Linked DNA regions of Solanum lycopersicum. The protein of the gene in region 1 binds, or shares a complex with, the protein of each later gene. Links are inferred from orthologs where the notes say so. Each region holds a gene or a part of one and is shown on either strand. Other genes may lie near its edges. The genes, in order: NADH dehydrogenase [ubiquinone] flavoprotein 1, mitochondrial; NADH dehydrogenase [ubiquinone] flavoprotein 2, mitochondrial.

What was found.
Region 2: the proteins of NADH dehydrogenase [ubiquinone] flavoprotein 1, mitochondrial (region 1) and NADH dehydrogenase [ubiquinone] flavoprotein 2, mitochondrial are in contact, whole or in part, in a cryo-EM structure (PDB 9F5X), measured with the Chlamydomonas reinhardtii proteins. The link is inferred for Solanum lycopersicum from reciprocal best matches to the Arabidopsis thaliana genes CI51 and AT4G02580. Residues at the interface, in XP_001702590.1 of Chlamydomonas reinhardtii: Asp58, Glu59, Arg61, Phe63, Gln64, Asn65, Ile66, Tyr67, Arg69, His70, Met78, Ser79, Arg80, Gly81, Tyr84, Met85, Glu88, Ile89, Lys92, Trp96, Gln100, Tyr133, Glu142, Pro143, Gly144, Thr145, Cys146, Arg149, Glu150, Arg153; in XP_001698508.1 of Chlamydomonas reinhardtii: Thr42, Arg79, Tyr80, Pro81, Tyr84, Gln86, Ser87, Ile89, Ile90, Pro91, Asp94, Val95, Glu125, Val126, Phe129, Tyr130, Thr131, Met132, Phe133, Gly147, Thr148, Thr149, Pro150, Arg152, Leu153, Gln154, Glu184, Met185, Glu186, Cys187.

The regions. Positions count from the first base shown.
Region 1 is NC_090801.1:65,985,061-65,989,397, reverse strand, and holds the start of NADH dehydrogenase [ubiquinone] flavoprotein 1, mitochondrial, read right to left. Parts: upstream 2,948-4,337; 5' UTR 2,802-2,947; coding exon 2,799-2,801; intron 1,712-2,798; coding exon 251-1,711; 3' UTR 239-250; intron 1-238. UniProt on the Arabidopsis thaliana protein: Core subunit of the mitochondrial membrane respiratory chain NADH dehydrogenase (Complex I) that is believed to belong to the minimal assembly required for catalysis. Complex I functions in the transfer of electrons from NADH to the respiratory chain.
Region 2 is NC_090808.1:60,899,102-60,902,282, forward strand, and holds the end of NADH dehydrogenase [ubiquinone] flavoprotein 2, mitochondrial, read right to left. Parts: intron 1,493-3,181; coding exon 1,415-1,492; intron 1,316-1,414; coding exon 1,250-1,315; intron 1,162-1,249; coding exon 1,051-1,161; 3' UTR 642-1,050; downstream 1-641. UniProt on the Arabidopsis thaliana protein: Core subunit of the mitochondrial membrane respiratory chain NADH dehydrogenase (Complex I) that is believed to belong to the minimal assembly required for catalysis. Complex I functions in the transfer of electrons from NADH to the respiratory chain.

The DNA.
Region 1 (4,337 bases):
GAGTATTTTGTACATGTTACTATGATCTTTGATAATCCAAACAACAAGAGGATAAAAAAAGACCCATTATCCGAACAAAAAAAGGGAACTAGAAAGAGTTTGGAAACCAATTTCACTTTATTAAAGTTTACAGCATGCAACGAATTTTTAGATGAATGTTTTATTAAGATGATGATTCATGGTTACTATCAAGTATCAAACACTACAATGTAAATGTAACAAAAGTTTAAGAACCAACCTCATAAAAGAATCAAGCAGCAGCTGCCTGTTGTAGCTCCCTCTCTGCATGCTCCCTGATCCTCCTTTCTAGCTCTGGTCTAAAGTGCCTAATAAGACCCTGTACTGGCCAAGCAGCAGCGTCACCCAAGGCACAAATAGTGTGCCCTTCAATCTGTTTTGTCACCTCTTGGAGCATGTCAATCTCTTCCAACTTTGCATTGCCAACCTTCATTCTTTCCATGATCATCCAAAGCCATCCTGTGCCTTCCCTACATGGTGTACATTGACCACAACTCTCGTGCTTGTAGAAGTACGAGAGCCTTGCAATTGCATCTACAACATCAGTTGACTTGTCCATGACAATTACAGCAGCAGTTCCCAACCCTGACTGCACAGCTTTGAGTGCATCAAAATCCATAAGTACATCCTCACATATGTTCTTGGGAAGCAGTGGAACAGATGAACCTCCTGGTATAACAGCAAGCAAATTGTCCCATCCTCCACGCACACCACCACAGTGCCTCTCTAGCAGCTCCTTCAATGAAATACTCATTTCCTCTTCAACTGTACAGGGCTTGTTAACATGGCCTGAGATGCAAAACAGCTTTGTCCCGGCATTATTCTTCCGGCCAAAACTAGCAAACCACTCTGGACCACGCCTTAAGATGGTTGGTGAAACAGCTACTGTTTCAACATTTGTAACAGTTGTTGGACATCCATATAGTCCTGCATTAGCTGGAAATGGAGGCTTCAATCTTGGTTTGCCTTGTTTGCCCTCAAGGCTCTCCAGAAGAGCTGTCTCTTCACCACAAATATAGGCACCAGCACCAAAATGAATATATACGTCAAAATCATAACCAGATCCACAAGCATTTTTCCCCAACAATCCAGCTTCATAGGCTTCTTGTCTAGCCTTCTGAAGGCTCAACCTTTCATTCACATACTCTCCCCTGATATAAATATAAGCAGCTCTAGCTCTCATCCCCACTCCTGCAATCAGACAGCCTTCCAACAACTTGTGTGGGTCATGCCGCATGATTTCCCTGTCTTTACAGGTTCCAGGTTCACTTTCATCAGCATTGACGACAAGATATGAAGGACGGCCATCTGTTGTCTTTGGCATGAAGGACCATTTGAGACCAGATGGAAAACCAGCACCACCACGTCCTCGAAGACCAGATTTCTTCATTTCATTCACGATCCAGTCAGAACCCTTGATGACAAGATCTTTTGTTCTGTACCAATCTCCTCGCTTCATGGCACCTTTGAGGTAAGGGTCATGCAATCCGTAGAGATTTGTGAAAATACGATCCTCATCTTTAAGGCCACCAAAGTGAGTCCTCTCGGGAGGTGGGGGTGGGGGTGTAGGTTGGGGAGTGCTAGCAGTTGATGCAGCCTGAGTGCTAAATAACCTACCATATTGGCCCCATCTTTCACTAGAACGCTGAGCTAATGCAGTTCGTTGTAGAGAAAGAAGGCCCTTTATAGGTGCCTGTTAGAAGAACATGCCACACATCAGTAATTTTAGCCTCATAAGAGGCGAGACTGAGCAAGCATAATTACAAAGGTAAAAGATTGTATTATACTGCACTAAGCGATGGGTCTATGCATCATGATTGCAAAATACTCTCTTTTTCTAGGAGACCAACCACAACACAACTCTTTTCCAGGCTTTAGATGGGGTACACTTTGCTAAACTCACCGAAGCAGAGTTGATTGAATAGAAACATAAGATCGAGAGAGTAACAGTAACATTTCCAAAAAAATTATTCCCAAAATAGATTGTTAATACCTGATGCTAAGGGAATTGCACAAGAGGGGAAGAAACAAAAAGAATACCCTCCTTTTGATGTCTGGGTGGGGGAGGGGAGGAAACACTTACGCAAAACATCTCTAACTAACTGTTTTCAAAGTTTAGGTACTAATTTAATTTACATCTACCTCTCTAAAATAAATACATAAGCCTTCCGAAGTAATAGAGTATGAAGGTTTTCTTTCCCTGAAAAAAGAAGCTTACCTTGAAAGAGCTTAATTCAAAGTACAGCGGAAGACTACACTAACTCCTTATTAATCTATATACATATAACTCATTCTAAATTACAAAGTTGAAAACACACACAAACAAAGAAAAGAAGCTACGGAGTCTATGAATTAAAGAGTTCTGATAAGGAGGTTAGGTTCAAAATATGAACTTGCATAACTTATAACATACTCCAATCTAAAAAAATAACCCATTTTTTTTCAACGAAAGCAGATCAATGAAGCAACACCTCTCCTGAATAACTTATCCAGGAATCAAAAAAGATCAAAAGCAATACCCACATGTGCTAGCCAAATAAAATTTAGGGTTCCTCATCATTCATCTTTCTAGGAATACCATGGCCATTCGAATCAGTTAAAATTAAGCCACATCTCTGAAAATATAAATTTGCAATAAATATCCTATGAAGAGTACCAAAAGAGTAATCAACGAACAAACCGAGGACGCATCAAAATGCACGTAAGGCGTATTCTCACAACAAATTTTCATTTGTATTTTGGTGGCGCAAAAAAATTACAGATCGAAGATAGGGACTTACCATGAATATTGAAGCAGAAATGTGATTAATCGACGAAATTCAGCTGATTCTCCAGCAGATTAGGGTGAGATTGAAGCTCTCTTTCTCATAAAAATAAGAAAAAAATAAGGGAAAATGAAGCTGTTGCGATTTGTGAATCATGACGGTCCACGTAGTGGGCTTGATGGGTATGAAATATCATGATGGGCCTTAGTGTTCAGGAAATGTCGTAATGGGCCTTAGTGACACCAAAGTTAAAAGATTTATCGTCTGCCATTAATGTACCAATATGATCGAAATATGCAAAAATCATGTATACCAGTGATATACATTTATCGTCTGCCATTAATGTCCAATATATACCCAAATATTATATTCTTTCCCTATTTTAAAAGTTAACAGATATAGCTTGAAAAATTACTCTTTTGGTTAATGTTAGGTTTGGATGTGTACATAGACAAAATTTAAATATCATCTAAAAACAAAGCCATTAGTGCTAATGAATCCTCAATACACACGCGTGTGTTAGAACATTTGATAATAAATTGTTCTAAATGCGATAATAATAATCGTAAGAGTGGTGTGTAAATAATTTATTATTATCGTAAAAAAGTAAGATGTTGTTTTTGCTAAAAACTCGACTAAGCTAAAACATATAAAAAAAACTAAGACCAATGCAGAGAAAACAACAAATAGTAGTAGAATTGAAAAATAAGTTAATAGAAGAGTAATGATAACGTAGTATTTTAAACAAGAGACATAAAATTAAACCATACATGTGCTTAGAATCAATCCTTGTTCGATACTAATTTTATTTTTAATTTTTCACCGGTGTTTATATTCACATTGAAGTCCAACTAAATTTAAATTCGTGCGGAAAAATTTTACGTTAAAAATAAAGTGCTCCGTAAAAAAAATGACTATGTATCAACGTTACCTAAATCCACCACGTCTTGATTAAGGATAAATGAGTCCACCATATTTCTCGTAGGTGGTTCAATACTAGATTAACTCTTGGCCTAATACTTTCTACAAGATATAGAAAAACACTATACGGATCCGTGATACATTGTTGTTCATAATTCCTTTGTATCTCAAACTTTTCCCCATTGTTTCAATCCATTGTCATATAAGAACATGTGCAAAGTGTTAATTACTATCTGGAATCCATACAATCTCTCCTTTATGATTGTTGTAAATAGAGATGTTGTTGTTGACAATGATGGCAGCTCAATTATATGCTTTACCCATGCCTCTGTTTCACTAGTACCATTTGAGAATATACTAAAAATTTTATGACGAATGAGGCACAAGTGTTATGTGGTAGACAAAATTTGTATGATCCTTCATTTATTTTTTGACAAGTAGTTAACTGGGTCCTATTTCAAAAAAAAAATAGCCCAAACTTTTTTTCCCTCTCTTCCTTTTGTGACGTTTTTCCCTCCTTCTCTCTTATTTTTTATTTTTTTATTTGATTTCTCTTTCAACCATTGTTACAAATTTGCATTTTCATATTTTAATAATTTTTAAAAAATGTTCATAACACTAATATAAATACGT
Region 2 (3,181 bases), on another chromosome or scaffold:
AAATTCTAATAAATAACATAAGATTTTCAAAATCGTTTTACGTAAGGTATAATAATTTTAAAGATAAAATATAGAATTATTTTATTCTACGTTTGATTAAAGGTATTAAGTAATTTTGAAATTACTGATCTCACTATTTGTAACTTAGTTAATTAAACTTTGGAATAACTTATCCGGAACCAATCAATCCAAGTCTAAAAAACTTTTAAGTCTTTCTTTTGGTTTTTGTATTTTTTTTTGAAAGCGTGTGTGGTTGGGTTGTGATAGTGGTTTGACTTAATTCTCTAAATTTTCTCCTGAGTAATTATTGGGTTGCATAATTGGAGAGAGAATGAAAAAGGCAACTCTGACGGAAAGCTGTTTCCCATTTTGCTTAATATAAATTATTATACTATATTGTATTTTCTTGCGTTATCATAATAATAACTTGGATAATATTTTTGGGTTGGTCCTATCTGATGATAGTAATTTGACTTGGACTCTCAATCACTAGACTCAAATTTCAACAATCAACGACTTGGAAGGGGATTGAAACGTTGATGGCTCATTAAAATATATGAGCTAATTAAAAACTCAAAATAGCAACTTCGACTCCAATTTTCCAGTGTCACTATGAAACAAGAAAAGTAATCACAAGAAACTTTGAATGCCAGTTGTTTATTTATTCAGTAGAAAATCTCTTTTCACATCCAAAACGCCAAACAACAATGCCATTTCTCCCTCCCAGTACACTTGAGTATTAGAGTGTAATGATTGGAAAAGCTATTGGCTTCTTAAATCAAAAACTTCCTAATTGTAAACTAACCATTCTGTACTAAATCAATTCTAGGCAAAACATTACATCCTGACCCAAAACAAAGGACTTTCACTGGATCCGGTAAGAGTTAAACCGATAAAACAAACAAGAATCAGTTTTACCTGTAATTATACTGACAGACAGAAAACAATCTTTAAATATCATCAATGCAGTAGGTAAGTTACTGCATATGATATCGGATGCGTCTCTCCATCCATTGTTTTGCATTATTAAAAAACTGAACAACAAGAAATTTATTCAGCAGCATCTAGATCCCGACAAGGAGGAGCCTTAGGCTCACCTAATAATGTAGTATTTCCTCCTTCTGGTCCACAATTGATACGACCTGGATTCTGAGTGCCGCGCTGAAACATAAAAAAGCATGACAATCAACAAAGCATTGATGTCATTATGCATGATAAAATTAGTCTATGCAACTTATAGTCGTCTTACCGGTGGTTTTTCACCTTTCCTGAATGCCTCAACAATCTCTACAGCTTTCTTTGGAGTGAGATCCTCCTGCAGAAAGGAAGGGAAGACCAATTAAGCTCCAAATACTTAAACTTATTACTATAAGATTGAACAAGTGATCAAAACAGGATTTACGTATTAACTCACATAATAATTGTAAGCATATCCTTCAGATCCATTGGAATAGTCAGCCACCGTCATCATTGGAGCATTTACACAGCAACCCTGTCACCAAAATGAGGTGTGATATTAAAGCACTTATCTATCAAATAAGCAACGACTTGAATGGTGTTCAACATTCTGAACAAATATGAGTAGCTAATGACCTAATCAATGGTTCCTTGCTGAAGAGCTTCCAATGCATGGAAAGAAGAATGTTGCAGTAGTTTAAACAACACTACTATTTTTTAAGCATATTGAAAATAATTCTATTGAAAATTTTCTTCTGATGAATAACCGTAACTTGTCATTAACAGTAGGTTCCACTGTTTCAACTCCAGAATCATATCTTATGCCTTTACAAGGTTGGTTAGGAAGCTAGTGAAAACATAGGCTTTTAAACTGAGAGTCAGCAAAAGATAAAAGCAAAGACATAATCTTGTCTTTCCCACCCTGCTTTTTCATTGGTGCGTCATATATCCTTATGATTTTCACGACTTCTCCAGAGTTCCCAATTAATAGTAAGTGGCCCCCTACAGATGCCCAATTTAGGTCTAAACAAGGTCCACTGAACCAGTGTTATCAAAGGCGCGCTTAAACCCTGAAGCAAGACTCAAAACGTGTTGAGCGCTTCACCTCGCTTTATGTGCGCTTCAGTGTCGTCATCAAGGTTCTAAGGGTGTTTGCCTTACCAGAGCCTCATATGAAGAAGTGACACTAAATAATTGATATACTTTATCATCAATTTCTTTGGACATTTTTTGTCATCCATGTTTATAATTATTAGTCTATGACTAAACATATATATTTGTATTCTTTTCTCCCTTTGTGCCTTTTTTCATTAAAGCCCACGCTTTATTTACGCTTTGCGCTTAAAGCCCTCACATACCTTAGAGCTTTTTTGCACTTTTCGCCTTTGATAACACTGCACTGAACAGACCTCAATGCATTGGCGACAATGCACGTAGATTAGGGACTTTCAAACACTGCCACCACAAACAAAATCCTAGCAGAATTTAAGTTAACAAGTTGGTTATTTTTCAGCACCAATTTAGATTATCCAAAAAGTTCCGAACTGTGCCCCGGTGGCCCTAGAATATTTTTAGTTATCATAATATCTAGTCAAATTTCACTATGACTAACATAAATAGGAAAATATGGTTTGAGAAAACTGTCTGATAACAGTAAAGATGAGTTCTCTGACTTAGAATAGTTCCCTGCCTATCACATCTTTCTCTTCTCATGTATCTAAAAACCATCCAACCAAGGGAGGCATCCTCAGCAATCGATGAGTTCAAGCCCTTAGAGGCCCCAATTAGACAAGGACCAAACCATCAAAAGGGCTATGAGGAAAATGAAGTTCCTCGACAAGTTGATAGGTTTGCAGATTAAAAAAAGAATACATTTGCCCCAGAATCTGAAACCTTTTGTCACTTTACTTTCGGTAAAGGTGGATAAATTGTGTATCCTCCATATAAGGCTGTGCTTGTACATGTGTCCATGCACACTATTACAGCCAAACCTCTTTATAAGTTATGACAACCTCATTTGTTTGAACCTTTTTTTGCCTATTACACACCTATTAATTGGCCTTTGGATCTAATTTGGTTGTTATAGACAGGAAATATTTAAAACATTTTCCAAATCTGTAGAGATACTGAGAGTAGAGTAAGAGATTGTTGGTCAGTTCAGGATTGAGACATCTCCTTTAGAAGAATGCTAAATGATTGGGTTCTCGGTACTGGAGAAGTTAGA